Astyanax mexicanus: one gene and its partners. Each later gene encodes a partner of the first gene's protein in a complex. Links are inferred from orthologs where the notes say so. Each region holds a gene or a part of one and is shown in the gene's direction. Other genes may lie near its edges. The genes, in order: cytochrome b-245 light chain, rac2 and ncf2.

Region 1 (10,023 bases):
AAATGAAATGATTGGTTCTTGTATGATTTCAGGTCAGTGCAGAGCGGAAGCCTGTTGGAAGTACCTCTGGCATGCAGACGAGTGTTAAGACAAGCCAACTGTTGAAGGTTTGCTTCTGTTTGTGTTTGTGTAAGCATACTGTGCATATTAGCATCAAAATCTATTTTATATAATAAGTTAATTAATTTATGAATTTGTCTTGTACGCACAGAAAGGACACCCTTTTTATTTCAGAAATGTATTGAAAATGAAAAAGGGAAATTACCTATCTGAATAGCCCAGTAAGTAAGAGGGCGCCTATCTTTTAGGCTTAGTCCAGAACACGGTCACAATCTTGAAAGCCTCCATCAGGGTTCGTATGGTCATGAAAAACCTGGAAAAGTCATGAAATTTAAAAATGGCAATTTCCAGGCCAAGTTTGGGAAAAATAAAAATGCCCAGAAAGTTTTGGAAAAGTCATGAAAGTTTGGCCTACACATCTTTGTGCATCAGTTTATCAATGGAGAAAATCTATTTTGAGCTCCGAGTTAATTCATTAATTTAAGCCTACAAAATGGAGCTCTCAGGATCTGACACACATTTTATTAATAAATATTGTGTCATTATTTTTATCAGATTAATTTTAGACCTATTATATTTTATCAATTTTGATTATAGTTTTGGTTGATTTTTGGTTTTATTGGCAATGATAATCGTATAGGCATGGAAATGTGCCATGAAGACATGGAAAAGTCATGAAAAAAATAATAGAAATGTATTGGTTAAAAAGTGTATGAACCCTGCTCCATTTTTTTTTTCTGAAACAAAAGGGTGTCCTGCCAATTTTGACTCAAGACATACATCAAAATGTGCATACACTACCCCGCCAAACACAGAACAGTTAGTATAATGTTTTGCACCCTTCCCCTGTAGCACCGTGCAGACAGTGTGGTTCCTGGCCGTATGGAGGAGATGATCAGTGCCATCCAGAAACGTGACTTTGCAACTTTTGCGGAGCTGACCATGAAGGACAGTAACCAGTTTCATGCTACCTGTCTGGATACCTACCCTCCCATATTCTACCTTAACGACATTTCACGAAGAGTCATCAGCCTGGTCCATCGCTACAACCAGCATTACCAGGAGACCAGAGTGAGTGTAGCCGACAGGTTTTTACCATAACATAGTCTTACGACTATCTCAGGTCTTGTAGGATGTGGCATATATAGATATTTCTATGGACTTCTAACTTTGTAAAAAATAAAGGTGCTACAGTAGACGATGCAATAAAAAAAAAAACATTTTTACAGTTCCATTAGAAACCTAAAATTAGATATGGGCTGATGTGGGATTTTTGGGCCAATGCCGATATTACACATGTATATACTGTATCTGTCAATGCAAAACTTACAGAGACTAGACAACCCAGTATAGCTTTAGAAATAAACAGTTATCTGCCTTACATTTAATTTTTTTAACCAAAGGAATACAAACAGTAACATGTAAAGAATCAATTTCTGGTTTTATATGTATTTAGGTAACTGGTCCTTACATAGACTAGGCAGTAACAGGTTAAATAAAACAATAGAGTTATTAAACAAATAAAAAATAATAAAAAATGAGTTATTTTAAATCAATGGATTTTAAAATAGTGCGACCAGTGTCTGCCAATTTCAGTACTACAGCCAGCATCTCTTTGTTGTTTTTCCTGCATACAATACATATGTCAGGAAGTATCTGTTAGAATTATTGGCCAAATGCCAATGATTAAAAAATAAAATAAAATAATTTGTCGATATCGATATAATTTCAATATCATCAGGCATACCTTCCCAACATTGTAGTGTGTGAGTGTGAATAACCTTTAAAAATATATTTACATTAAGTAAAGGATATTTACACTCTCACAGCTCTTACAGTTGTCTTTATGGAACCAAAAAAGTGTTTCTTCTATAGCAGCACTAAGAGAATCCAACAATCCAACTCACTGGGGCCCAGTAGTCACAAAATGTAAAATCTGGATATTTGATCCAGAGGCCTGTTATCAATAACTGAGACACCCCTGTCCCTTTTCTGTAGAGATATATGTAATATGCATGATTTAATACCAAATACCTTTAATGTGTGAAACATAGGGGCACATTTGTAACAGAATTCTTCTGAAAGCAGGGCAGTGCAGATGCTTTTATGCTCAAAGTTTACTGTTAACTGAGTGTGTCGCACCAAAGAATCCAATATATTTTCCATTCTGTGGCCAACCAGTGAAATGTTGGCATTGGAATCCTCCTGTACAGGAACTCAGTTGTGACATTGATTTAGTGACCAAATGCTTGCTGGGCTTGTAGATCATGAATGTGTTGTAACGTATTGGACCCAGTATCATACTGTATTCTATGTGGTTATAATTCATCTGATGAACACTAGAGGGCCCCATCTGTGTATCAGAATTACTGTATAGGAAGTTCAACACCCTTAATATCACTGAACAAAAAAAAGTCTTGATAATGTATTTTCTCCAAAAAATATATTTGTTTGCCTAATTGCATTTTAATTGTTGCAAAGCCCTGTTTTTTTAAGATCATTATAATATTTATTCTAAAATATTTCCAGTAAAGTTGACACAGCCGCTGTGTCACTTGTGTATAGAAACACATGACATTTATATACAATGCATGTCTTTAGCAAGGAGACTAATTCTGTTAAATAGTGAATATTCCTAATAAAAGCAAATCTATATTTTCCAGGTGGCATATACTTTTGATGCAGGTCCTAATGCTGTGATCTACACTTTGCAAGAGCATGTGCCTGAATTCGTCCAGGCTGTTCGTCATTTCTTCCCTCCAGAAACCAACGGTGGAGAGTAAGCTTTTCATTTCAGACTGATGCAGAATATAATCAGATTTAAACATTGATCAGCCATAAAATTAGTACCATTTGCTTAATATAGTGTAGCATCCACTTTTGCCATCAAAACAGCTCTAAAACATTAAGACATGGGTTCTACAAGACCTTTGATGGTGTCTTGTAGCAGCAGGTTAATTAATAAACTGGTTAACAGGTTGTCCTGGTACTGACTACTGCATACCAGCATGCCTGATGTTCTGGAGATGTTCTGACCCACTAATCTAGCTACTAATCTATGCTTAACGTCCAACACATCAACTGGAAGAACTGCCTGTTTACTTGCTGCTTAAAGATAATCAGTTATATTCACCTCAACTTCACTCAGTAAATGTTGCTGAAATACATAAATACATGTATATGTTGTACATCATGCAGTTGCATGCATTAAATGAGGTTGTTGTCTCCAGGTTTGTAAAAGGCCTCTCTGTGGACTCTGCCTCGTTGTCTGAAGAACTGAAGAGAGCCATTGGGATGGAGCCTGTTCCGAAGGGCATCAGCTACGTCATCAGCACTCAGGTACGTGACTCAGACTTGCCTCAGATTTAAGGAAACTGTGCTAATTTCCAGAACAGTAAACAAGTGTTCAAGGAATGGGCTAAATCCTGTGTAATCATTAACTTGCAGAAAGATTAGGAATCATCATTCACAGTAATGTGTGTGTTTTTTTTTGTTGTTTTTTTTTACAGGTTGGACCGGGTCCGTGTGTGGTGGAGGAACCAAACCTTCATCTGTTAGGCCCAGATGGACTTCCCATGAAGAGCACCTGAGTATTAACAGGAATCATAACTGGCCTAAAGGAAAAAGAAACTTTAAGTTCAAGATGAAATACTTCAGTCAAAATCTATTTAAAAACAGAACAAGACTTTTAGTTTTTTTTTTTTATTATTGTAAGATTTTTGATTAATAGGATAAGAATTAAGAAACTATTGATGAACTTGATTTGTTCAGCTTTTGTATAATTTAAAATGCAATAATGTCTATTTACATAATGTTTGTATGTATGTAATTTTGTGTAGATTGTTTGAGTGTATTTTTCTAGCTTTTTGAAATTTGTTTGGTAATGTTCTTAAAATATACACAGCTGTTGATGCCATGAGTCTGTATTATTTTATAACTTTTTTGTGGCCAGTGCTTTCTTTCTTCTTTGCTATTTCTTTATTTATTTATTTAAAACAACAAAAACAACATTTTCCGAAATGCAAAGTAGTGCAGATATATGTACATATATGATCCGACACACAGTAAACCAAAATATAGCAAAACATAATAATAACTAACTAAAATACAGTACATATTTTAATAAGTGACACTGTTTAAATTAGTTATAAAGTTATGTGTCTAGTCTCTAGTAAATTTGCCAGTGACATTACAAGTACAACAGGGTACAAATATATAATTTAAGTACTAAACGTACATATAATTGTATAAGTATAATGTAAATGTTAAAGGAAATTAAACAAAAAATCACATGTATTGTTCACATGTATACATTTAAAAAAAAACACTTATTTGACAGGTATGTTTGGAACCAGATAGTCTGTGTTATTCTGACTGATTTTCTTTTCTTTCTATTTTTTTTCTTTTTACTTTTTCTTTTCTTTTTTTATTTAATTTATTTCCATGTGTTCCCGTTTTGCTGGATTCCAGTATATCACAGGGTGGGTGGGTGTGTATATATATATATATATATAATATATATATACTAAGTATATATATAATTTACTGCCATAAAAAAATCAGCAGGGTATAAACAATATAAACAATGCAAGAACCAAATGTAAAAAAGAAAGTTAATTAATCTTAAGTTTTAAGTAATTAATTAGTTACAATTATACATTTTAAAAACACTTATTTGACAGGTATATTCAAAACCAGGTAATCAGTGTTATTCACTTTACTAGTTCTAATCTTCTGACAGATTTTACTTTTCTTTTTTTCCATGTTTTTCTTGCTGGATTCCTGTGTATCACATGGTGTATTTATGGTAATTGCACTGTTATAGATATGAGTTATGGGGTGTGTTGTTATATTTAGGTTAAAACTGCTCTACAGGCTGAATACAGTCACGCCTGTTGAAAGCGTCCTGAACTAGAGGAAATGACGCGGTCAGTGGGCGGGGTTTGCGCGGTGTGGCTCCTCTCACCTTTGTTCGCTGTATAAAGTTAGAGTGATTGTATTAAAAGTGTCAGTAAATCATCATCAGCAGTAGCAGCAGCTCCTCCACAGACCCTGTGAGCTCTTATTACCAGACCCGGAGAAGATGGGGAAGATTGAGTGGGCGATGTGGGCTAATGAACAAGCCCTGGCTTCTGGACTCAGTGAGTATCTCACAACTCTGGAACACTTCTCATAACAGCAGTATAAAGCGAGGGGCTCAGCAGAAAAAAGATACATGTATATATATGACTGTAATTATGAGGATATATACACAGGTTGGTGATGTCACTTAACAGCCCGGTGTATACAAACTAGCAATACAAGTTTAAAAACAGGAAAAAAAAAACAGTCAGTGGAAGTCAGACATGCTTTCACACAATATATATATATATATATATATATATATATATATATATATATATATATATATATATAACAGACCACTTCAGTTTCAGAATCAGTTTCCCTGATTTAGCTATTTATAAGTATATGTTTGTTATTTTTTTATTGTTGTTTTATTCTATAGGCTACTGACAACATTTCTCCTAAATTCCGAATAAAAATAGTCATTAAGAGCATTTATTTGCAGAAAATGAGAAATGACTGAAACAAAAAGATGCAGAGCTTTCAGACATCAAATAATGCAAAGAAAACATGATCATATTCATGAAGTTTTAAAAGTTCACAAATCAACCATTGGTGGAATAACCTTGGTTTCTAATCACAGTTTTCATGCATTTTGCCATGTTCTCCTCCACCAGTCTTACACACTGCTTTTGGATAACTTTATGCCTTTACTCCTGGTGCAAAAATTCAACTAGTTCAGTTTGGTTTGATGGCTTGTGATCATCCATCTTTCTCTTGATTATATTCTAGAGGTTTTCAATTTTGTAAAATCAAAGAAATTCATCTTAGTTAAGTGTTCTCTTAATTTTTTTCCCAAAACTGTACATAGATAGTTAGTACAAATGTGTACAATACTATCATTACATTTTGACACAGTATAAAAACAGATTCACATTATGTGCAGGATTTTAAAAAAGACAAAAATGCATACACAATACTGAGTCTACTAAAATCAATAGTTTAATCTTTTACATATTTACATAACTACAACTTGAAATTTGTAAAATGTAATGGCAAAAATAGAGGTACAAATCTGAAGGTATTAGGTCTGTCACGATAATTACATTATCGGCGTATCATACAATAAATGTCACAATTTTTGTCACATTTTCACAATAATATTTGACCGTGATATCCTCTATTGTGTTTATTTGTATGTTTGTTCACATATATATAACAGTAAACAGAATTTTAGCCAATCATGCAATACCAGACCAGTTCTTTAGTCATTAAAATGTAATGGAGTTAAAAAGACAATAATGCATTGCAATGTATTGATTGCAATATTTATTTCTGGGACAATATATTGTCCAAAAATTATTTTCATGACCGGCCTAAAAGTTACTAAAATCACTGTATATTTTTATGACTGTGAGTAACAGTGTATATTATGGCTTTTTGACATAAGAAGCCGCAGATCAGGTTAAAGTAAAATCTGGTGTGCTGAGCTGATGAGGAAATTCAGGAGTGATTCATGAAATCTTTTTTTAAACTACTTCCCTGTTTCAGTTTATCTAACTGGAGGAATCGTCGGAGTTGCTGGACAGTTAAAGGGCTGGGAGTACGCTGCTTTTGGGATGTATCCTTTAATATGAGTGACTGTGGACTGATTTAATGTTGACCAGTTGTCTGTCATCTAGATCTACTCCCACTTGTGGATCATATGAGTCCTAAAATGTGCTCCATCTGTTCAGTTTCCTTATCTGATCCTTCCTTCTTTGTTTCTATATTAATCTAGAATGTTACAGTGCAAAAATAGGCCTCTCTGTAGGACTGCAAACACTTTACTCTTTCTAATAATGCTGTTTAATACTTCTTCAAATATTTTGAAGTGATATTCTATTGTAATTAGTATTTGTATAAATAATTACTGAATTGTATTGAACTTGTTCTAAACAAGCACAAACAGTAGAGAGTAAATATATTTATTTGTTAGACTGAACTCATGTGTTGTCTTAGGATTTAAAATGTATTTAATGTAGTCGTTTTTACATTGCAAACATCTTGAGATCAGCAAGACTACATCATATTGTCAGTCAGACAATGTATATTTAATATAAAGCAAACATTTGGGCACCCCTGTTCAAATGACAAATGTTTTTTTTAAGAATAAATAGATAAACAAAATGAATATACAAAATCTATCATTTGTATTTCTTCACTGTCTAATGAAAAACAAGTATCTCCAAAATGGCAACTTTACAGGAGAGAGATAAAACCTACTTAACTTTCAATGGAACAATGTAAAAGTTTATTTTAGGTCATTTTGGACCATTTAAATTGATCAAATTACCAAGAAATTTTGACACAGTGTACAAATCATGCAGTAAACTAAAAATCCACAAAAATTTAATTACTTGTTTTTCATTGGACAGCAACGATTTGTTTTTAGGTATTAACATATGAGAGGCAAATATAACAGTATTGTAACTTCTTGGAAGACTTGACTTATTTAAATACAGAAAATCCTCAACGTATTTAATCTGGCTGCCCAGACACTTGCATAAGACTGTATTGTGATTCTCTGGTTACAGTCTCTTGTTTCTGTTTTCCTTCATAAATTGAGCCACGTTTTTATAACTAATTGAATCGAACTGAATCATCTTCAGTTTTGGATGCTTCCTTAAATAGATTTTTAACATCTGCATAGCTTCATACTTCATACAGGTTCATACAGTACCAGCATATACTTCATTTTACACATTTCATGTAATTTTATTAAAAAACATTAGTTCCAGATGTATGAGTGTGTGTGTAGCTGTGTAAGTGAAAAGTTAGCGGTTGCTCTTCCGCATAGTTTGTTACCCTTGACTAGCGCAGAGCTGCAGGTGTGTTTGTGTGTTTGCTTGAGTACCCCAGGAGCAAGAGGGCTAAAGGCACCAATTATGAGAGAACGTGAGTAATGTCTTCACACTCAGCTCTTTCTGCTAGACTGCCTTCAGGAAACGGATTCTATTCTGAGCCCAAAACAGAATCAGTTATTTATAAATGCATTTTACAGAAAACCTAATAAAAGGTTGTTCGTCACATACACAGTAGTAGTGCAATGCTTTGATGAGTGTCTGATCACATGAAACAATATGATAAAAAAGATCAAATGTATAGAATTAATATAAAATATGTGATACTTTGTTATTTACAATGTTTATATCATAATACTAACTTTGTAACGTCTTTCTTCTTTTGTGTGCCTTTCTGTCTCTTTTCTGCTGACAAACAGAATTTCCCCAATATGGGACTAAAAAGTATTATCACACCCATTAAATAAATAAATAAATAAATGAAAGAATAAACGACATAGAGACACATATATAGAGATAATAATACAATTCATTAAAAATTCCCAGAGCTCTCCTTATGAGCATTTATTATTATTATTTATTAATAGTTATCATATCAACACATGGACGTATTCAATGTATAAAAACAGTTTATTTTTTAGTAAATTTAGAGCATTTCTATTGGTCTATTCATTCAGAATAATATGCACGTAACACAAAGCCGCCACAAGATTTAAACAATGGGTAAAACAAGTAAAAATAGAATAAAAAGGAGCAGATTTTTTTTATTGGACAGAAATGACATGGACTAAATACATACCATATATAGAAACTATATAGAAAGTAGAAAATAGTTTAGAAGTGAACACCTGCTGTATGAAGATCCTGGTTATTCATATTTCATTGTTGTGTGATGTTGTTTTGTTGTTGTTGTGTTTCAGTGGTCAGTACTGCTTCACTGTGTGTGTGAAGGCATTCGGACCCCTGACTAGCAATTACTACGTGAGGGCGTTCCTGCATGCAGCGTGAGTACCTCTGCTTTATCTCCATTCTGCATATTTTACCTTTGTCTCTCAGCACATCTCATTGTTGAAGCAGACAGACAGGTTACTCTATGCTTTTCTGTGTATTGCTTTGTGTTTTTACAGTGTTACATAACTGCTCTGTCCTCAAAACCCCCTGTTCTTTATTAAATTACACCCTGTTTTAATATTTTTAACCTACAGGCTTTGCGTCCCAGGAGGCTTCATGCTTGCTACAGTTTTAGGATGTGTTTGTCTGGGCATGGCCAGCCTCATCTACCTGTCTGTAAGTGTTAATAATGTTTTTTCATCCATTTGTTTTGCTGTTGATCTGTTATATCCTGCTACAGGGTCAGGGAATCATGTGCACTTCTTAGGTAAAGTAAAGTAATTAAATACAGTTAGTTGTGAAATAAGGAAACTGAAATCAGGAATATTCTTTTACACAAACACACACACACACATCTTTAAAGTGTTATATATCTCGGTTAGGCCTGTTTATTGGAAAGAACTTGGCAGTATAATACATATCACAATACAAGGGTTATTATTCCATGTAACACTATATATTGCAGTTGTTTAAATAAAATAACTTAGCAAACTCTCATACTATTACAGAAACCATTACAGAATTACACAGTACTAGATTACAGAGCATATTTTTGTTTAGTTAACTCAACTTTAGTAACACAAAAACTTTTGTCCTTTTTTCTTCTGTATCTTAATTTGTTCCACAGTACATATTGAGTTGAGCCTTAGCATCGTTAGTAAATAAGCCACAGCTAAAATTCAGTAAATAATAGATAAAATATTTAGTCTGTGATTACTCCCCCGTTTTTTTACTGTTTATTCCCATATCATGAGACTGGAAGACTGGACAATAGACTGTGTGATTGAGCTTTCACTGGGATTTGAATTCATGCTCTCACACTTGACAAACAGCAGTTAGACCGTAGGGCCACTCCAGAGCTTGAGAATTGTATATTGCACTGCTTTAAAACACACTTTTTAATCTCGGGTGGTGCAACTGTCTAACTGTGATCATTGTTAGAGAC
Region 2 (10,247 bases), on another chromosome or scaffold:
CTTAGTTTCAGCTCTACCAAATGGCCTTTGTGTGCAATACAGGATGCGAGAGGTGCTCATGAACAAAAGCTGACACAACACTCTCGCTCTGTCTGTCTCACACACACACACACACACACACACACACACACACACACACACACACACACACACACACAGACACACACACACACACACACACACACACACACACCACAGCATCAAAGTGGTAATGTTTCCATTATCCTGGTTAACCTACATTTTGATAAAATAACTAAATACTCATAAAAAAATAAAAAATAAAAAATAATAATTAAATTGTATGTATTATGTAAAGTTTACTTAAAAGACTTAGTATGCTTTAAGTATAAAACCACTAGACTAGTAGTTTACTGAGAGTAAAGTGAGAGTAAAGTATATTTTAATAAGCTAAATTAAATATGTAAACTACTTGTGTACTCAAAGTTTTCTAAATGTATAAATAACGTACACTTAAAGGTAAACTTCAAGTGTACACGTAGTAAACTAAGAGTACATTGCTAGTTTACATTTAAGTTTTATTTTTGTATATTATATATTATTTTTGTACATATTAGTAAACTAGTTGTGTAGGCAGAGTGCACTACTTGTACACCCAAAGCACTCTTAAAAGTATACTTTTTAATACTAAATTGGGCCAATTTAGTCCCAAGAAGTATTGAAATAGTGCACTTACAAGTCAACAAGTACATTGATTCTTTATACTTGCTACATAATATATACTTGGGGAATATATTTTAACTTCTTAGCTGTAAGTACCTTATGTTTCGCAGTATAAGGTGCACTTAAAATCCTTTAATTTTCTCAAAAAACGTCATTGTGCCTTATAAGCCAGTGCGCCTTATATATTATTTTGCTAGTCAGGTTGTAAGAAGCAGTAAAGCCACTTTGCTGAAGTAACAGCATTACACATGAGTTTCAGTTTAGTTCTGAAGCAGTATTAGCATTAGCCGCTAACCGCCATTTCCCCATCTAGAGGTAAGTATTATCAGCCTGTAGCCTGCTGCTAAGCCCAGCTGGCCGTGTTGGAGTAGCATTAGCATTACCCGCTATCTGTGGTCGTTATTTACCCGTTCAGAGATGAGTATTATCGGCCTGAAGCCTGCTCCTAACCCCAGGTAGCCCTATTGGAGTAGCATTAGCATTACTCGCTATCTGCGGACGTTATTTACCCGTTCAGAGGTGAGTATTATCGGCCTGTAGCCTGCTGCTAACCCCACCTAGCACTGTTAGAGTAGCATTAGCATTACTCGCTATCTGCGGCCGTTATTTACCCGTTCAGAGGTGAATATTATCGGCCTGTAGCCTGCTGCTAACCCCACCTAGCACTGTTAGAGTAGCATTAGCATTACTCGCTATCTGCGGCCGTTATTTACCCGTTCAGAGGTGAGTATTATCGGCCTGTAGCCTGCTCCTAACCCTGGCTAGCACTGCTGGAGCGGTTAGCCGCTAATGCTAATACTCCAGCCTAGTGCTGGAGAAATTCAGTAATCTAAACTTAGTGTAAATAAAAGAAAGCACTTTACTTACCCAAATAAACAGTTTTCAGGAGAGGACTCTGTGTAGATTAACATCCAAAAAAATACAGTAACTTACACTTTTTTTCATAAGGGAAGGAAAGCAAACCACACTGTTGCAGTTACAGTTAGAGCTGCTACAAATAGGTATTTTATAGATTTAAAGCAAAAAAAAAAATGGGTGGCTGCAAAAAGAACCATAAAAAACCTCTCAAAAGTTAAAATAGGTTGATTTAGATGTTCTTTGCTCATTTTTAAATATTCTTCACACTTAAATTAAGTGTTTTTTTCTATGACATCACTCAACCATTATTCTTAACAGATAGTTCCTGTAAGTGTGTACAGGAAACTCTAGACAATACCAAGAACCGTTTTTAGTATTTAGTAGATCTTCTTGACTTCTTAATTTATTTTACAGAAGTAAGCACACTAGAGCATGATCTGTTTTTACCCCCCTCTGTTGCTCTGGTCCTCTCTGATCACAATTGCCATCCTATTCTACCCTCTCCTGGTGAGGCATTAGAAATGCAGGGTGGATGATGATCTGTCCTAAATCTCAAAAGCCCCTTATTTTCTAAGAAGCTAGTGCACTAAAAAGTCTCAAATGGTTTTAAACACTGCTTTGCATCCACTCAACTGTGATCAGTTAGTGCACTATTAGTAGATTAGTGATAAGTGACAAATCAGATTGAGAGTTTTCTTACTTTATGCAACTGAATCACGACACAGTTAAGTGACATTGTAATCTAATTGGCCCAACACACATTTTAGACCAAGATTCCCAGATTCTGCTTTATAACATTGAGTTTCTACAGGACTTTTAATCCTCTTCCCTCAAGTTTGTTGCCAAACATGGTTGAGAGGCCTGTTTCTGTTTAATTTCGAATGAAATATTATTTAATATATTTAATAATAATAAGAAGAAGAATAAAAATACATTTTCACAATACTCAGTTTTATGACAACAGTAGTGATTCTTTTTGATACTATTACATATTGGGTATGTGTTTATTTTTATTCAAAGTAAAGTGCAGTTCATTTAGTTAAACAGGAGTAATTATGTTTTTTGTAATAAAATATACATTTGGGTTAATGTTCCTGTAATAGGATATTAACAGGTTGTTTTTGTTTTCGCCATTGAAATGAACTTTCACTGAAGGCGATGTAATAAGTTGTTAATATTTTTGTGATATTCTTTGTAAAAGATAAATTGCCTTTAGAACTGTTAATTTTTCATTTCTTTTATTTACTTATTTTTCAAAATCAACTTTAATAATATGAATACGTATATTATTACTGTGTCTGCCTAATACACAGTAAAAAAATAAGGGCCACTTAAAAATAATGAGTTTCTTTAATTTTACCAAATTGAAATCCTCTGGCATATAATCAAAAGGAAGATGGATGGTCACAAGCCATGAAACCAAACTGAACTGCTTGAATTTTTGCACCAGGAGTAAAGCAGCATAAAGTTATCCAAAAGCAGTGTGTAAAACTGGTGGAGGAGAACATGTTAAGATGGGTGAAAACCGTGATAAAAAAAAAAAACAGGGATATTCCACCAAATATTGATTTTTGAACTCTTAAAACTTTAGGAATATGAACTTGTTTTCTTTGCATTATTTGAGGTTTGAAAGCTCTGCATCTTTTTATGTCAGTCATTTCTAATTTCTGCAAATAAATGCTCTAAATGACAATATTTTTATTTGGAACATATACCTGTAAATATCAAAATCAGAGAAACTGAAATGGTCTCTTATTTTTTTTTTCAAAGCTGTGTACTGTAACACAGGCTATACTTCAGCAACGTTCATCCTCAATAATGCATTTTAAATTATTAATGACTACAAATTTGTTATTTTATTTAGTGTGACCAGTTATCAGTCGCCTCTTAGGCTTCAGTATTATTTGCTAACTTTTTCTTGGAGTTTAATTAGTTTAGGCTCCTCCCACACTCTACAGCCTTACAATAGAAGCAGGAAGCCAATTTCTTGTGCTGTTTGAGGCCTAATAAGGTAATAAAGATAAATTAAAATGAACATTTAATTGAATAATTTGTTTCTGTTTTTTTTTACCAAGTGTTCAGTAGCTAGAAATAGTAAATATCTTGTATGACATTTTTTCTTTGGCATTCTAAGCTTTAGCTTTAGCATGTTCTGTTGGCTTTTCTGTCGGGCAGCATTTTAAAGTAGATGGATTAAATTCTAAAGTGTGAAACTAACTATTTAAGTTAAATAGCAGTATTGTGTATCATTATTTTGATATACAATTTAATAACAAATATAAAATGTAGCAATGAGGCTAAAATGGGTTTCTAAAATGTTCTGTTTCAATTGAAATGTCACTTAGCTAGGTAAGCTAAGACATACCTGTCAAGTCTCCCGTTTTGGCCGGGAAACTACCGTATTTTACTCCTCTTTCCCGCCGTCCTCCCGTATTAGTATTTTCCCGTAAATTTCCCGTATTTTATTAAGATAAAAAAATATATATTATTGAGGATACAGGGCACTGACCGCTCTGTGTCTCTTAACCAATCGTGGAGCCGGTTCAAGGAGAAAGTCCCGCCTTTCACTAGAAACAGCCAATCAGCTTGCAAGGAGGGTCAGTGTGGGGAAGCCCCGCCCTCCTCGCTGTGAGTTCAGGCAGCTAGTTAAAACATACATGCAGCGATTTTTCTAAAAGAAAGGTAACGGTAGTCTAATCATGGAAACTGTGATGAGATTTTTCTGATAGCTGCTTAAAAATACTCCGAAATAAAACACACAGATTAAACCTTTTAAAATAAAAAAAATTACAGCTTGTGACTCAGTTTAACTAGAAATGTGGAGAGGACCGAAATTAACTGAACTAATCAGGGGTGGAGTGATCAAAAGGAATAAGTATTAATTAAAATTTATTGTGTAGGCCCCTTAGGACTAATTTTTACTGATGAAACATATCTGGTCCATGTCCTTTTAGTAAAAGCTCATAATACCATTTTAGGTCACCAACAGTCATTTTGCAGAATTTGTGCACTCTTTGTTCAATTTTAAATCCATTAAATAAATAAAAAATATATCATATAAAAGAGTGCATTTATTACAAAAAAGACATGAAATCTTAAATAAATAAAAAAAGATATAGAAAAGGGTTTTTAATTTGGCTGTATTAAAAGAATGACATATGTAGGAATGTCCACAACATGTTCAGATTCTGATAATCTAATTGTAGTGTGTAAGTGGTTCACATGTGGTTATTTTAGATTTTTTGTAAACCTGTTTTAAAATGTAAGAGATACTGAACCTTCGTTGGGCTGGTGGGACGGCTTTAAGCGGACAGAGGAAAATATCCCTTATTTTTAAATCTAAAACTTGACAGGTATGCTAAGAGAGCTTAGCTAGCTTAGCTTATCTAGGTAAACTTAAAGAGACTGAAAAGCTTATGATACAAAACAAAAGTGGTCTTTTGTCTGAATGTTTTTTTTTTTTTTTTTTTTAGAAAACAGAGCCATTATCAGTACCATGTTACCTGCAACAATCTTTAATGTAAAATGAGTTAGATGCAGAAGTAAAAACATTGGTTAATTGAATTAAATTCCTCATAAGCAGCATCCAAGCACTTCATTTTCATAGTTTCCACTTGCAAGCTAAATAAAAGATGCTGAAAGGGTTTTTTGTTTGGCCATTCCACCTTAAACTCTGCAGCCTGCTGCACCTGGCTATAATTTAGCAGGCTGTACTGTTTAAGGTGGAATAGCTAATTGTTGCATAATTTAAGGTGATTTAAAATAAAATATTAAAAAAAAAATAATAAGCTATCCAATTCTGACATATAAATATTTAAAATAAAAACCAGAGTCATGTAAACACTATAAAAAGTGTTACAATTAGGTTTACCAAAAGGTTTGTTTAACACTTTTAAGTTACCACATGATTCCTTATATATTCTTTCATAATCTGGATGACTTCAGTATTCATTTACAATGTAGGAAAAATCAATAATCAATTAATGTAAATATGTCCAAACGTTTAACTGGCACTGTAGTTTGAAAATAAAAGAACCCAATGCAAAAATGAAAGTGATCCAAAGTCTAAACCCTAAATTCTGCTGATTTTAGAAAACAAATTGGTGGTCAAAGCTGCTGTGGTGTAGGAAACCTGTTGTGAAGCGGAAGTGATTTAACAGAGCTACTTAATCTACGCTTAACTGAATTAACTTAACTATTTTTGTCTCTCTTTAAGGAATTCCTGCTTTTATCCTTTCAGGTTTTTTCATTATCTATACATTATTTGCTCCTGCGTTTTATACAAATCAATTTCTCTCTTTATTTACTTCTTTCTTTCTTTCATTTTTTTCTGAACATCTGAACTATATACACACCCTGCATGTGCTTCAGGGAGCTGAAGTTCTTATTTCCTGCTACATGACCAGTTTCAGGTGCTGTAGAGCTGATCTGCAATCAGTCTAGCAAGTTACGAATGACATGAGCGTGCATGTGCAAGACTGGGCGGCTCTGAGGCGCGTAGATTCAGTCGAGTGAAGGGAGGAGGAGGTAGAGCAAAGGGAGGAGGAGTGAGTGGAGGGGGGGAAACACACTGACAACTTTTCTGAAACAGACTGGTTTCCTGTATTGCACCTTCTTCACTTTTTGCACACTCTGGTTCTGTTGAGGCGCGTTAAAAAGCTGAAAAGAACAGCTCGGGGGGGAAGATGCAGGCCATAAAGTGTGTCGTTGTGGGTGACGGGTGAGTTAAAACGTGAATTTGCTTTATTTTTCTACTTCTTGTCTTAGTCTGAGGTGATAGTAGAGTGACAGTTTTGGTGTAAAGCGGATTTGGAGTGAACAAGTGATGGCTGTCATGTAACTGAAGACCGGTTGGGCGTTTATTTCCTTCTCTTGCTCTTTTTGCTGTCATTTCTTTTGTCTTTACGTCATTTACTTTTTATTTTCTGCCTTTTTGTGAATAAAAATAGTAAAAAAAGTTTAATTTAAGGTAAAATCTGATGTTTTAAAAGAAACAAAACCTAAAATTTATTAAAGGGAATCAGACACTTACATCCTTTACCTGGACTGGTCCAGATTCTTTTAATCTTTTTAATTCTCATGTTACTATAAAATAAAGCAGCTTTAGATGGGGATTTGCGATTGAAGAGTTTTGCATCTGGAAGTGACTCAACTCGATTTGCTTCAGTGCGGAACTTTAAGCAGCAGATTAAACTGGCCGTTCCTTCACTTGGATTGACTGTGGCCTGGTTCTAAAAGGTGTTCCTTCAGGTCTTCAGGTGTACATTGGAGTCTAATCACAGTGTAATCAATCAGATAGCCTACGCCTACAACTATCTGAAGTGATTGGAGCGGCCTAGAGCATCCTCCATTACTCCATTACCCTTGCTGGGTTTGAAATAAGCCAGGCCTCAGGGTCTTTAAAAAATGCCCCACATATATTACAAATAATGGCATATTTATTCCAAACAATGGCTGAAAACATTTCTGATCAAATTTAATGTTCAGAAATGTCCAGGCATGCTTAAAAATAGAGCTACCAAAGACTACTGTATGTAATGCCATTACAAAACCGCCACTTTTGCCCTTAAAAGCCTTCAAATGGATGATTCTTTTGACCGCCATTTTTTTTTCGTAAATGAAATCAGGGTTTGATTGGAAGAACATTGATCAGTTTTGGGGAACACTGTACCAATGAACAAAAATTCCACACATACTTTCAAATAATTCCTAAAATGGCCCCATATGCCAGTGTTTCTCAACCCCCCAGTCCTGGAGGCACCCTGTGCTGAATATTTTAGTGTTTTCCTGCTTGAACACACCCACTTTTACTCCAGAATTGAGCTGATTAGTAGGATCAGGTGTGTTTTGATCAAGGAAAACACTAAAAAGTGCAGAGCAGTGGGCCTTCAGGAACCTGGTTGGGAAATACTGCCTCAAGCCATAGAAAAAAAGTTGTCAACTGTTGGTGAATAAAAAACTATTTTGAGTGCAGGCTTCTTGTGTAATGTGTAAAATGCGAACCTCAGCTCAGTATAATAGTTCTGTAACAATTAATTCAAGGGTTTTCTTAAACTAGTGTTAACTATTAGTAGAACAATTTTTAAAAAAGATACATAGATGTTCTAGTATGAAGAACCTTGAGGAACCATAAAAATGTTTCTAGGAATGGCCATAAATTGTTTAAAAGTGTGGATAGTATGTAGTGGACACAACATTTTTAAAGTCAAAAGATGGCTGATATGGAAGCTACCTGCCCTTGTTTGCACTAGAGATGGACCAATCAGTGTTTTTGGGGCAGGGCTTTTTGGCTTATCCTAACATTGGCCACTTCCATACCGGAACTGCACTTTGGAGAATGAAGTGGAAACTTTACAAAAATCACTGCTTATCCAACAATAAACACAGTATGAACAGTATGATTCCTTTAACATTTTCACTGCTGGTGCTGTTCCTTTGGTGGAGGTCTGCAGTGTTTGCTGTTTTGTGTTGTTAGTGGTGTTTGTTAGCTCTGCTTCTCACTGACAGATGCAGTCTGGACAAAATCAAACTCCAGCCCCACAGTGCTGCTGTGTAAACCTTAACTCCTGTATCGAATTGGCTAAATTAAGGAATTTTGACTGAAAATCAACTAATACCGATATATACCGATTGGCCTTTACATCTCTAGTTTGCACTTATTGTGTTTTGTAGAGAAAATCGAGTCAGAGCATGTGCACTAATTGTCCAAACTCCACCCACATTTCTTCAATGCAAGCTCTAACCTATTTGTCTATAAACTTAGAGTTACATTTCTGAGAAGAATAGGTAAAATAGGTTGCCTTGCTGCTTTTTTCCCTTTACTTACATGGCATTGGACAGATTGTGCTACAGCCAGCCACCAGACAAATTTTAACCCACTTTTCAACTGCTGCTGTCCAGTACAATCTTATACCCCAGCCAGCATTCACAGGTTGAGCTTACATTGTGGATAAAGTGGATCACTATAAGTGGGCATGAGCTCTAAATGGGTTTGTGTATGTGTTATTTGGACCCAGTTGGACTTCCCAAATGGACACCATCATTACAACCCACCTTAATCCCACATTCATATGTGGGGTCACGATGGAAGCCATGGTTTCCAACTTGATAGCACCCACACAAATACAGTATGTTATATGGGGAAACAAGCTATGGAAAGGAACCTTAAACTTCTCAAGAAGGACATTGAAGAAAATTTTCAACCATGGAAACAGAGATTTGGTTACTAGCTTAAGCTTTAAAAACACTGCACTACTAAGGCTATGCTTACATTACAAGCCACATTGCTCAAATCTGATTTTTTGGTCACATCAGATTTGGCCATTTTGACTATTCACATTCCCAAATGTAAGTGCCTTGCATCTGTGTGTAATGTTAATGAATATGTCCCTGAAACATCTCACATGCGCACATTGATACGTGTATAAAAGCCGCCTTCTTCACCAACAACAAAAAACTCAATATTTGAGAGACGACCCTTAGTTTTATAAAGGGAAATGGATGCGTTTTCTTAGCAGCTCATATGTGGAGCATCTTTTGCTGGAGTGGAGAGTAATCAGCTGGTCTGAAATACATGCTCAGGTCAAGGAAGTGAAAAATGACCAGGTGGTTTGCTTTTGCTGTTTTTGCAGCTATAGCTGCACAGCTGCACCAAGAGATTTGTGGGTACGAGAAAGAAGCATGTAGCACATGCGTAAAAGAAAAAGGACGCATGAATTCCCCATGATTTGACCGTTCACATTCATGTCGCATGTCTATGGATCAGATATGTATCTGATTAAGGACTACATATGAAAGCGACTCAAATTTAATTAGAAAAAATCTGATTTGGCGCGTTCATACAGCCATGAAAAAATCTGATCTGAGCCACACTGAGCAAAAAACTGATTTAGGTCACTTAAGCCTGGTAATGTGAACACAGCCCAAGAGTCAAACATGACCTGCAGAAACCCAGTTCATTTTGTCACACTTTTAAGACCATACAGGAAGTTGTTATGCCACGTTCGGAGTATGCTCAAATGATCGCTATCAGAAAAAGGAAGCTGTACTGTAGAGGCTTAGTTCCTGTCAGGAAGACTGACCCTTTAGGTTTAGCTTTGAAATCATTTAGAAGAGATGTTTTGGCCTTGGCAGTGGAGATTGAAGAGAAGTTAGACGTCTGACCATCTGTACAATCATTTCCTCAACAGTATTTTGCCAGAACTGAACTCTGAGTGCATAATATCACTTACAGAGATGAAGCTGTATCTTCTGTATGCTATCTACTACAATTAAGCTGCCTGGGAGCTTCTGAACATTCTGAATCTTCTGAAAGTTCACCCCACTGGTGTTATCGATCTAGACTGAAAACAAGACTGCACTAAACGTCATTGAGTCATTTGATCCCTCATGATCCAGCTGCACTACAACACCTCACCAGAATCTAAAAAGCATTCAACATTTTACAGCTTTACAGTCTGCCGAGCTAACTCTCACTCACACTGGAGTCACGTGCTAATGTGTTAGCCTCAGTATAACACACTAGTCACACACTAACATATTACTCACAACAATATAATACAGTACACTGCGACACAATATGTTCCGATATGGAAATCTGATATAAATTTGCACATATATGGACATGTACAGTACACTGCATTGGACGGAAGTATTGGAACACCTGCTCATAATCATTTATGTCTTCCAAAACCATTTTTTTATTTTTC
Region 3 (10,896 bases), on another chromosome or scaffold:
TCATAATGCAGTTTGATTAGGCAATACTTATCTAACAAGCTCAGAAGTCCCTCTGGAAACACTTTGATAGCATTTGATTGAGCCAGAAATAATTTAGGGGATTTAAAAGTATTTTAAAGAGGTGAATACTGGAGCAATAATGTGATGCTTTTTATTTAAAAACTATTTGCAGACTACACCTGAATTTTATTACAGTACAATGGACTACTTGATACTGATTCATGACATAAAATCTCAATAAAACATCTTTGAATTCCAGACTGTAGCACTACAAAATGTCAGAAGATTCAAGGGTGAATACTTCCACTTATAAAAATAAATTTAAAGTAGTGAATTGGATTATTATTTGTGTTTATTGCTCTTTATGTTCTGTCATATGGAAACAAGGTCACATATAAATGGCTTTCAGAAATAGTCCTTACTAATTTCTTTTAGATTTTTTGCTTTTGCAGTGTGTGTGTAGCTTTGAAAATGGCAACCTTCAGCAGAATTATAAAAACAAGGCTATCTGCCATCTCCATCGGTCAAACACAACTCATGTTTCCTGCTTTAAACCTAACCTGCAGATAGTTTCTAACCAAAAAAATTCAAACCAGTAGCGAAAATAAAAATATATTTATACATATAAATAAAACTTTTTACTGCATAAAACGTTTAGACTTAATATAGCTGTAAATAGCAGGGAATAACACTTCCACTGGGCTTACACTTTCATTTCTTTTACAACTGGAAATTAAAAGATTAACTTTATCAGACCACGTCCTCTGCTGTAAACAAACATTGCAAAGTCCACACTGCAAAGCATTAAAACTAGATTGCATCACTGGAGCACTTATTAACATAAGCTGCAACAATGGGGTTGATGTTCTTAATTTAAGTAGCTACATAAATATCAGGGAATTTACTGCCACTTATTGAACATCAATTTTCAAACTGAAAGTGAATGACCTTTTTTCCAGTCCTCAGCATTTGTTCGGTCACTAGAGTGACGTCTATATGGAGGGGTCAATTAGATAATTGCCTGCCAGCGTAAAACTGATGGAAAATGCTGCAGCCTACATAGCAGATGCAATAGCTTTACTATGATGACAATTTCTCTGCTTTATTTGGCTTGAACTGTTTCATGTTTTGTTCCCGACAATTGTTCTGTTATTACTTAGTGTTTTATATGTCTAAAAATATTACACATGTAAGAGCAAGGCATATACATACATCTTGTTAACACAGCAAAAAGAATGTACAGTGTTTGCGGACAGCCGAGAGAGAGAGAGAGAGAGCCCTACACAACACTATGAGAGGCCTCACCCTCATAATGGACAGGGATCTCGATTTTCGGTCCGATGACATAATGGCCCTCCTCCAGGCTATGAGCAGTAATCGTGGTCCACTGCCGACATGAATGAATCAAGAGGTAGTCATTTTCTCTTAGCCCTTCCACCGATTCCCCTGGAGAAAAAGACACTTATCTACATCAATATGGAAATATGACACTATAGTATCAGCACAATAAGTCAGGTAAGGCCACAGAGACAAGCAGGCATTCAGAGATATAATCTCAACACAAATAAATGTTTCATGTAGCAACACTGAAATATTGTAACAGAGTTAAACCAGGCCAGCCCTCTGAATTTAATTAAGCTAATATCAAGCCTGCGTTCTCAACTCGAGGGAATGCTCAGGGAAGTCATTTACATAAAAATCTACGGATGTAGCCTTTCCAGATTGCATCTCCATGCAAATCACTTTCATTCACTAATTCCCACCCAGACGAGTTATTCATCTTTTCAGCTCCTGACCTGACTAAGTGAAGTGAATGTGTCACAGACAGCAGGGTGCCATTAAAGTGCTCATCTGGGTTCCTTATTAATGATTCAGGCTTTGTGTGGATGCAGGCAGAGGAGATTATGCCAGACAGTTCCCAGAATTTTCCCTCAATGGTTTGTCCCAAATTACTTCAGAATTTAAGACAGACGGTAATATTACCTCAGCATTTCAGCACATTTGGGAGGTGAAATAAGATGATGAGAGTTTTGTGATCACAGAGCTAAAGGACAGATTTTTTTGTGTAGAAGCATGATATTAAATGTATACAGTATAGTGCAAAAACTTTATTTTCCTTACTTTTTTTTATTTTTCTTCCTTCTAGCTTTCTCTGTCGCTCCAAACAATAGCAACAGCTAAATGTGGGATTTAAATGCTCTTTAAATGTCCTGAACATTGTTCTGGATGGTGCAGCTATTTAGTGTGTGTCATCTGATGTGTTTGGGCACTTTTGGAGATGCAGGTCAAGTTTAGTGTTACCCTTTTCCCATTGTGTTTCTGACCTTCGTACTTTGCTTAGTGCTACAGGTTAACAATTAGTCGTCAATGAACATCTTTAATGAGCATTTACCTACTAATTATTAATAGAGCTGCAACAATAAGTCGATATAATCGACAATGTTATATATATTTTTTATTTGTCTACTACAAATTTCATTGTCAACTAATACTTAATTTGTGACCGTAACAGTACACATTACACACAAGTGCTATGGACAGAAACACAATGTGAGATAAATGGGTTACTCACACAGGTTACACTCAACTTAGTCTGTGTCTCTGAACTTTCCATGTTTAAACAACATCTAGACATTTAAATGGCGTATAAATCTTTTTTTAGCTGTTTTTATCATTTGACAGATGTAGAACATTGTAAAAATAATCGCTGACTAATCGACTGATCGTTAGATTGGTCAACTAACAAAACACTCATTAGTTGCAGCCCTAATTATAACAAAAAAATAAATAAATTTACAAACTTAGCTAATGCGTTCATCTTAGAAACTAAACAAAAAGGCCAATATTAGTGTTAACAAAAAAAAGGTTTGTTGATCACAATATTGTATGATAAGTCAATAATGTAGCAAATTATTGTGAGAGGCCTGGTTATTATCAAACACCTAGTTTGCTAAGTCAGTGCTTAATGACGTTATATCAGGGAAGCTGGTGATGGAATTGAACACTGTGTCCAACAAACATCTGGAACCAAGCTTTGTTCATTCAAATATTAAGTAAATGTCTTCAAATTGTGACAGCCTTGACAACCATATGCATACAGTTATCACTGGGGCAATCTTTCTCTGTAAGTAAACCAAATCTCTGTTGTCAAGCCAGTTCCTACACCAACAGAGAGAGCAAGAAGACCAACCTTTCTGCGGATCCTGTGATTTACAGCTCCTAACCGCTAGCAGGTTTACGGGCTGGACCTGACTTTAGTGCTTTAGCTATAGTTCAGTGTGCCTTAGCTGCACATAACATAGTTAAGAACAATACTATCTAACCTAGATAACTAGGTCAGCGGTTTCAACTCTGTTGACAACACCTAAAGTAAACTAGATTCAACATTGGCGTTTAAACTAAAAAAATATAAGCAATATGGTGAGTCTGGGATAGAGGTGGGTAAGCAAGCTCCAGAAAGTAAAAATCCATCCCCGGGTTTTGTACCAACTGCCTGGGCGGCTCTGCTGCAGCTGGCAGATGGTACAAAACCCTGTGGTGGATTTTTACTTTCTGGAGCTGCCTTACCCACCTCTAGTCTGTGAATACCTAACCTAAGCTAGCTAATAATATTTTTGTTACTCGACATTATGGACTGTAACTTTAGTTTCAGTGGTTAACACTGACCTGACCTGTTAGAAAGAACATGGCTAGCTAGATTACCTAGATATCCACTAATAAAACACAGCTAGCTAACGCTTCCCTGCTGCAATATTATTATTATTAAAGGCTGGCTAACCTAACTTTATGATGGCCAGCAGTCCACCAGCACTGACAATGGAGCTAACGAGCTAACTAACTTTAGCAGGCGTGCTAAGCTAACCAGCCAGAGCTAATGCTCGGAATTCCAGGCGAGCTACAACGCCACCCACGCTCGGGAGTTGGAGCGAGTTTATCCGAGCCAAAACTCGCCTAGTACCAACTAAAGCCGCCCAAAAACACATCCCACACCTGCAGCCGAGTTTATTAAAGTCCAGTTTATAAGTCCAGCCTTACCGCCGTCCAGCTTCACAATCTGCGGGAGTCTGTAGGCGCTGACCAGCCGATCCAGGGGCAGAGTGGTGGAGCTCCAGGTCACATCTTTCAAACTGTTGTACAGCATTGAACCCACGTCCATGGTAGCTCGCTCGCTAACACCAGCGCCTCATGCCTCACCGCCCAGTTCTCCCGCGGCGCAGAGCGGCTGCTGGTTCATGGAGAGAGCGCTCCGGCGGCCGCTCTTTCCCCCTCACCTAAAGGACGAGGCCATGGCAGCCCGACGGCTCTGTTTACACTCACAGGAAATGCCATGGCTCTCTCTGACCATAGAGATCTGGAGCCGCTTCCTCCTCTCACACCACTGGCTGCTCGGGTTGCCCGGGAAACCGCCGCCGTGAATGGCTAAACTCCTCCTAATCCATAAATACAGATTTTTATCTCATATAAAAACAGACAATTATGCGTTATTGAAAAATATAAGAAGATGAAACAATAATCTAATAATCTTATAATAATCCTAATTAATAATATTAAAATCATAACAAAATATTAAATAGATAAATGTCGCTTTGCCAAATCCTCCCCAGTATGGGCTACTACTAAATATGAGTTTCTTTGATTTTACCAAATTGAAAGCCTCTGGAATATAATCAAGAGGAAGTTGAATTTTCACAAGCCATCAAACCAAGCTGAACTTCTTGAAGTTTTGCAACAGGAGTGGCATAAAGTTATCCAAAAGCAGTGTGTAAGACTGGTGGAGGAGAACATGCCAAGATGCATGAAAACTGTGATTAAAAACCAGGGTTATTCCACCAAATATTGATTTCTGAACTTCTAAAACCTTATGATTATGAACTTGTTTTCTTTGCATTATTTATTTATATAAAAACTCCTTTTTCATTCTGTTTTTCGTTTTCTGCAAATTAATGCTCTAAATGGCAATAGTTTTATTTGAAATTTAGGAGAAATGTTTATTTAAAATCACACATTTTTCAAATGAAAAATGTTGCCATGTTGTACTGATGTGAACCAAGAGCAATTAGGTCACAAAATCGTTTTATACATTTCCTCAAACTCAACCAGTTGTTGTGGTATACACCTGTATACAGAGTTTCAAGATAGTAAAAAGCTACATATATTTACATATTTTCTGCCTTATAGTTTATTACTAAAGTCACCCATACTATGAAGAAATACATATACATTTAAAAAATATATATTTTACATTATTCAAAGTAACACCTTGCGTGAATGACAGTTTTAAACATCTCAACATTTTCTCAGTCAGCTTTATGAGGTAGAGTCACCTGGAATGACTTTCAGTTAACAGCTGTGCTGAACTTGTCAAGAAGTAATGTCTTGAATGTCTTGCCCTTTTAAGGTGTTTGAGAGCATCAGTTGTAAAGTTGTAAAGAGGTATAGTTGGTATACAGTGAATAGCCCTATTTAAATTATGTTCAAATCCATATTATGGCAAAAACTACTCAACTAAGTAAAGAAAAAAATGACTTTAAGAAATTAAGGTAAATTAATCCGAAAAATTTTAAGAACTTTGAAAGTATCCCCAAGAGCAGTCACAAAGACCATCTAAAATGAAACTGGCTTTCATCAGGACTGCTCCAGGAAAATTACCTCTGTTGCATCATAGTTACCAGCCTCAGAAACCGCAGGTTAACAGCACCCCATGCTTAAAAATATGTTCAAATGTTTGTTTTCTGTTCTCTGAGTGTAATCATTATATTAACCTAATAAATTGTCATCCCCTTTTTGTTTAATCTTTATTAGTATATGTCAATGCAACTTTTGAGACTATTAAACCAGGTCCAGCTCATCAGCTGTGATTGATTAGAATATGGTTAGAGAGGATTCTGGAGGAGCCTGTCTTTTTTAAACCTCAGATATTAAGTCTGGTTTGCTGTTGATTGCTAAAGTTTCATAACTCAAAGAGTTCTCTGAGGACTGTAGAAAGAAGGTTGTAGATGTAGACGAGTCTGAGGAGGGATATAAAAAGATCTCAAATCCATCAGCCTTGCACAAGACAGTCATGGGGCTGGTTTCATTTTTTTGTTTCTGGGTTACTTTTCCTGGAACAGCTGTTTTGTGGCAATGTGTGTGTTGTAAAATGACCACACAAATAAAATTGAATGGAGGGGGGGATTCTCAGTCCATTGTCTTTTCTGGACCTGTGCCAGCTCTAATACAGTTACAGAGAAAGTTAATCTGCCATAGGAAATAATGAGCAGCCAGCTCTGATTGAAGCACTTCCTCTTTGACAGTAAGAGGCTGTTCCGAGCTGAGTTGGTTCTCAATAACAGGGAAGAGCCATTTCAGTGAGGTTTCAGCAGCAGTGAAGGGAACATGTCTTTTGTGAGCACTCTGCGGCAGTGGGATGAAGCAGTGGCTTATGCAGAGAAAGGAGATGTAGCCGCAGCCCTCAGGACATTCCAGGACATTGAGGAGAAGACTTCTAAAATCGCCTTCAACATTGGATGCCTCCATCTGAACGCTGATGACTTTGAGGCTGCTGAGAAGGTAAAGTCGACTGTAGACTCTTGGCCTTGTCAAAAAGGTCATAGATAAAGTTATCAGATTATAATAAGTAGCTTCAAAACTTAAAATATTGTAAAACAGAATGCTACAGTATCGTTTTCTAATGTTCTTCTTAAAATAAATGTTACTTTGAAAAAGGAGAAGTAAAAGTTGTTTCAGGCTTTTAAGAGGAAACTCTCTAATCTCTCATTTCAAGGCATTTGACTGCAGTATCAGAAAAGATGAGCATCTGGCTGTGGCTTTTTTTCAAAGGGGAATTACATTCTACAAAAAAGAAAAGTAAGTGCTTCAGTGATTATTTAGTACCATGTTTAATTTTGCCACATGCAACAGAATAAGTAGGGAAGTGTGAAGGTTGAATCAATGTTTTTTTTTTGTTTTGTTTTGCTAAATAATTTTAATTAAATATTTTATTAGAAAAATATTATATATAAAAGAGTTTTCAAAATGTTTTACACAAAAACCCTAAACATCTCATAGGGATTTTTAGTGTAACAGACTAAAGAGCTAATTGAAACAGTGGCTGAAAGTACACTGCCTGGGGAAAAAAAAGTCAGCTCACTACCTGAATATACTGAATATAGACCAGGTTATTCCATCAATGAATTCTTTTATCTTCCCTGATGGCACAGGCATATTCCAAGATAACAATGTCAGGATTCATGTTGCTGGAATTGTAAAATAGTGATTCAGGGAGCATGAAATCATCATTTTCACACATGGATTGTTCACCACAGAGTCCAGATCTTAACCTCATTGAGAATCTTTGGGATGTTCTGCGCTTTGTGCAGCGGTCAGACTCTACCATCATCATTGCAAGATCAGTGAAAAATGAATGCAACACTGGATAAGTCTTGTGTCATTGCAGAAGCGTATTAAAACAATGCCACAGCAAATGTGTGCTGCAATCAAAGCTAAAGGTGATCCAACCAAATATTAGATTGTGTGAACTTTTTTTTAGTGGCTACGTTTTTTTGGCCAGGCAGTGTAGATTTGACTAGTCTTTAAGCTAAAGAACAATGCACTGCCCGTCTCCTGCACTGCATATGGATGTGACTTCTCACCAGACACCACTGGTCACTGTCATTACCATCCACTGTGCGTGCTGTTTACTGTGCTTGCACCATTTCAGAAATGGAATGATCCATTTATCTGGCACCCACTATTAGAAATTGCTGTAATTCCCATAATTCACTTTGCCTGTGTTCAGCCACACTTATAAAACAACACCTCGCAACTTTTACAGGTGTTCGTACTCCCAAGCTGTCCCAGGATGTAAACAATACTTCACAATTAATAAATTTGCACACTGCTATTCCATGACTTTTGGCATGTCAAAACACACATACATATCTGAACTTAAATAAACAGGATTAGAGAAATAAAAACATCTCATAAATGGCAAATTGTATTCTGATAATACATATCAGAACAATAGCACTGATATATGAGGGGACATGGACTTTTTTTATGTTTTTTGGGGAGGTTATATGTAACACTGTTATATGTAACCAGACCTTGTTGTGTGGAGGCTATATCTTTGCCTGGCCCTGATCTGAAAAACTGTAAAGTGTCTGGTGAAGTAATCATGACATTAAAGCAGAAATCAGGTGTGAAATGGACTTGGGATGTAGTGAAACATGACAAACGTTTGTTTAAAAAAAACATATTCTTACGCCCTCTGGATTACGAAATACAGCAAAAGCAGCCAATGTTAGCAACATAAAAAAAAATATATATATATAGCATTGTTACCTGTCCCCACTCTCTAACTATAGATTTTACCATAAAATATAATTATTAAAATCCTTCAGAGATTTTTGCATTGTTGCGTGAGTCCAAAACGCATCTATGCTTAATTTTTTTTTTTTTTTCACAATAAATCCATAATATTTAAGTTAAATACACATTTTAGTTGTCACTTGGTTACACTCATACTTGTTCCTTGGGGTCTAGGTGCTCTGACTGTGAGACTGACACTACTGCTCTCACTGAGGCGGCTCAGGGATTATGTCACATGCAGCGCCGTGCGCAGTGCCCTAGTGCCTGTAAATTTAATGGTCCAATGAAGGTCATTTAAAAACTAGGACATTTCCTCACTTTTTGAAAAAAACCCGGGACGCCTGGGACAGGACGTGAAATACTGACGTTTGGTCACCCTACACTACACCCAAAGTTAATTGCGCACCAGATTGTTCCTTTATTGCACACAAAACTGTCTGATTAAAACACTTCCTTTTAAAATAAGATGACCAAATCCATTCAGCCAGAATGTGTTGAAGTACATGATCTTTAATATGTTAGCTACATTTTCCACAAATGTTAGCTTGTGGTGTGTCTCTTGTCTGCCTTGTGAAACTGGAGGGAATTTGATGTAACGTTGCAGTGCCCACAGTGTTTCACTAACAGGAAACATGTTGAGAAAGGGCTTCGTTTTTTTTTATCAGTAGAGCTTGCACTGCAGATTTAAATAAAGCGTAATATCTAAATATATCTCCTTACAGATTTGAGGAATCACTTCTGGACTTCCAGCAAGCCTTTAAGGAGCTAAGAGGAAACCAGTTGATAGACTACAAACCTCTTGGCCTGAGGTATAAACTTTATGCTAGTGAGGTAAGAACTGTTTGGACTTACATATGATTGTAAACAGAAAATTAGATAAATAAAAATAGAGGTGTGAAATTTGTCATAACAATATTTTTTAGATTATTAAACAAACTTTAAAATCAGACACATATAACCTGAATAAATTTAAAAATAATTTTTTAAATAATTGTTTTATTTATTAAAGGAAAAAACTATTCAAGCCCAATCTAGACCTGTGTAAAAAGTGGTTGCCCCTAAACCTAACAACTTGGTTGTGCCACCACTGGCAGCAACAACTGCAATCAAGCTTACCAATAACTGGTAAAGAGTCTTTCACATCTCTGTGGAAGAATTTGGTTCCTCTCTTCTTTGCAGAATTGTTGTAATTCAGCCACATTGGAGGGTTTTCAAGCATGAACGTCCTGTTTAAAATCATCCCGCAGCATTTCGACCAGACTTTGACTAGGACACTCCAAAACCTTTGTTTTGTTTTTTAAAGCCATTCAGAGGTGGACTTGTTTGTGTGCTTTGAATCATTGTCCTGCTGCAGAACCCAAGTACGGCTGAGCTTGAGGTCACAAACAGATAACCAGCAGTATTCCTGGTTCCATCTATAAAAGCACGTTGTTCAGGCCCTAAATAAGCAAAGCAGTCTGAGACCATCACACTACCACCACCATGTTTTACATTCAGTGTGGTATTCTTTTTTTCTGGAATTATGTGTTAGTTTTATGCCAAATGCAATGGGACACACACCTTCCAAAAAGTTCCACTTTTGTCACGTCAGTCCGAAAAATATTTAGCCAAAGTCCTGGGGATCATTAAGATGTTTTTTTTGGCAATTGTGAGACGGGCCATTATGTATTATGTGTTATTAGCACTGACCTTAACTGAGCTAAAAGACCTACAGTCTTTAAAATGTTGTTCTGGATTCTATTGTGACCTCCTCGATGAGCTGTCCTTGCCCTTTTGGAATAATTTTGGTTGATTGGTCACTCCTGGGAAGGTTCACCAGTGTTCCATGTTTTCTTCATTTGTAAATATTAGCTTTCACAGTGGTTCACTGGAGACCCAAAGCTTTTTAAGCCTGGTAACCTTTTCCAGGTTTTTCTCATTTGTTTTTAAATTTCTTCTGATTACGGCATTTTTGATATATATATATATATATATATATATATATATATATATATATATATATATATATTTGACAGGTTATGTGGACAATCAACTCTATTACCTGATGATACCACATATGAACAGTTTATTGAAACGTACTCTGCTTAAAATGTGACAATCTAGCAATAAATTTAGCAATCAGTCCCATGTGTACTAAAAAAACACATGAAAAACATAAACTGATCAGTCATTACCTTAAGACCACTTACAAATATGAAATCACTGATTATCTTCATCTACACTGTCACCGGTCAGAGTGTGGGATATTTATATTAGTGGAAAGTAAGTAAGTTCTTGTTTTAAGGTAGTGTGTTTAAAAGCAGAAAAAATGGCCAAGCATAGAAATCTGAGGCACTTTGACAAGAGCCAAGTTGTGACATCTTAGACTGGGTCTGAACATCTCCACAATATCAGACAGGTCTTATTTTCTAATGTTGTCTGGTACAATATGTAGTATGTATTTTTAATAAAGGTTCTCTAAGAAATGCCAAACAGTGGAGCCAGTGTCAGGGTTATAGACAAATATGTCTCATTGATCTTATCCACGGAGACCATTATGTCTCTTAC

The links.
Region 2: cytochrome b-245 light chain (region 1) and rac2 share a complex: the UniProt entries of both Homo sapiens proteins name them as parts of the phagocyte NADPH oxidase complex. The link is inferred for Astyanax mexicanus from reciprocal best matches to the Homo sapiens genes CYBA and RAC2.
Region 3: cytochrome b-245 light chain (region 1) and ncf2 share a complex: the UniProt entries of both Homo sapiens proteins name them as parts of the phagocyte NADPH oxidase complex. The link is inferred for Astyanax mexicanus from reciprocal best matches to the Homo sapiens genes CYBA and NCF2.

What each region holds. Positions count from the first base shown.
Region 1 is NC_064416.1:13,289,920-13,299,942, reverse strand, and holds the start of cytochrome b-245 light chain, read left to right. Parts: upstream 1-5,021; 5' UTR 5,022-5,143; coding exon 5,144-5,201; intron 5,202-6,675; coding exon 6,676-6,745; intron 6,746-7,986; coding exon 7,987-8,061; intron 8,062-8,887; coding exon 8,888-8,971; intron 8,972-9,172; coding exon 9,173-9,254; intron 9,255-10,023. Other genes in the region: mvda (diphosphomevalonate decarboxylase), read left to right, coding at 33-107, 913-1,131, 2,724-2,839, 3,291-3,399, 3,570-3,650. UniProt on the Homo sapiens protein: Subunit of NADPH oxidase complexes that is required for the NADPH oxidase activity that generates, in various cell types, superoxide from molecular oxygen utilizing NADPH as an electron donor.
Region 2 is NC_064426.1:7,286,184-7,296,430, forward strand, and holds the start of rac2 (ras-related C3 botulinum toxin substrate 2), read left to right. Parts: upstream 1-6,078; 5' UTR 6,079-6,224; coding exon 6,225-6,259; intron 6,260-10,247. UniProt on the Homo sapiens protein: Plasma membrane-associated small GTPase which cycles between an active GTP-bound and inactive GDP-bound state.
Region 3 is NC_064415.1:33,924,367-33,935,262, forward strand, and holds the start of ncf2 (neutrophil cytosol factor 2), read left to right. Parts: upstream 1-6,268; 5' UTR 6,269-6,375; coding exon 6,376-6,549; intron 6,550-6,763; coding exon 6,764-6,846; intron 6,847-9,071; coding exon 9,072-9,180; intron 9,181-10,896. Other genes in the region: garem (GRB2-associated and regulator of MAPK protein 1), read right to left, coding at 1,306-1,446, 4,036-4,156. UniProt on the Homo sapiens protein: Subunit of the phagocyte NADPH oxidase complex that mediates the transfer of electrons from cytosolic NADPH to O2 to produce the superoxide anion (O2(-)).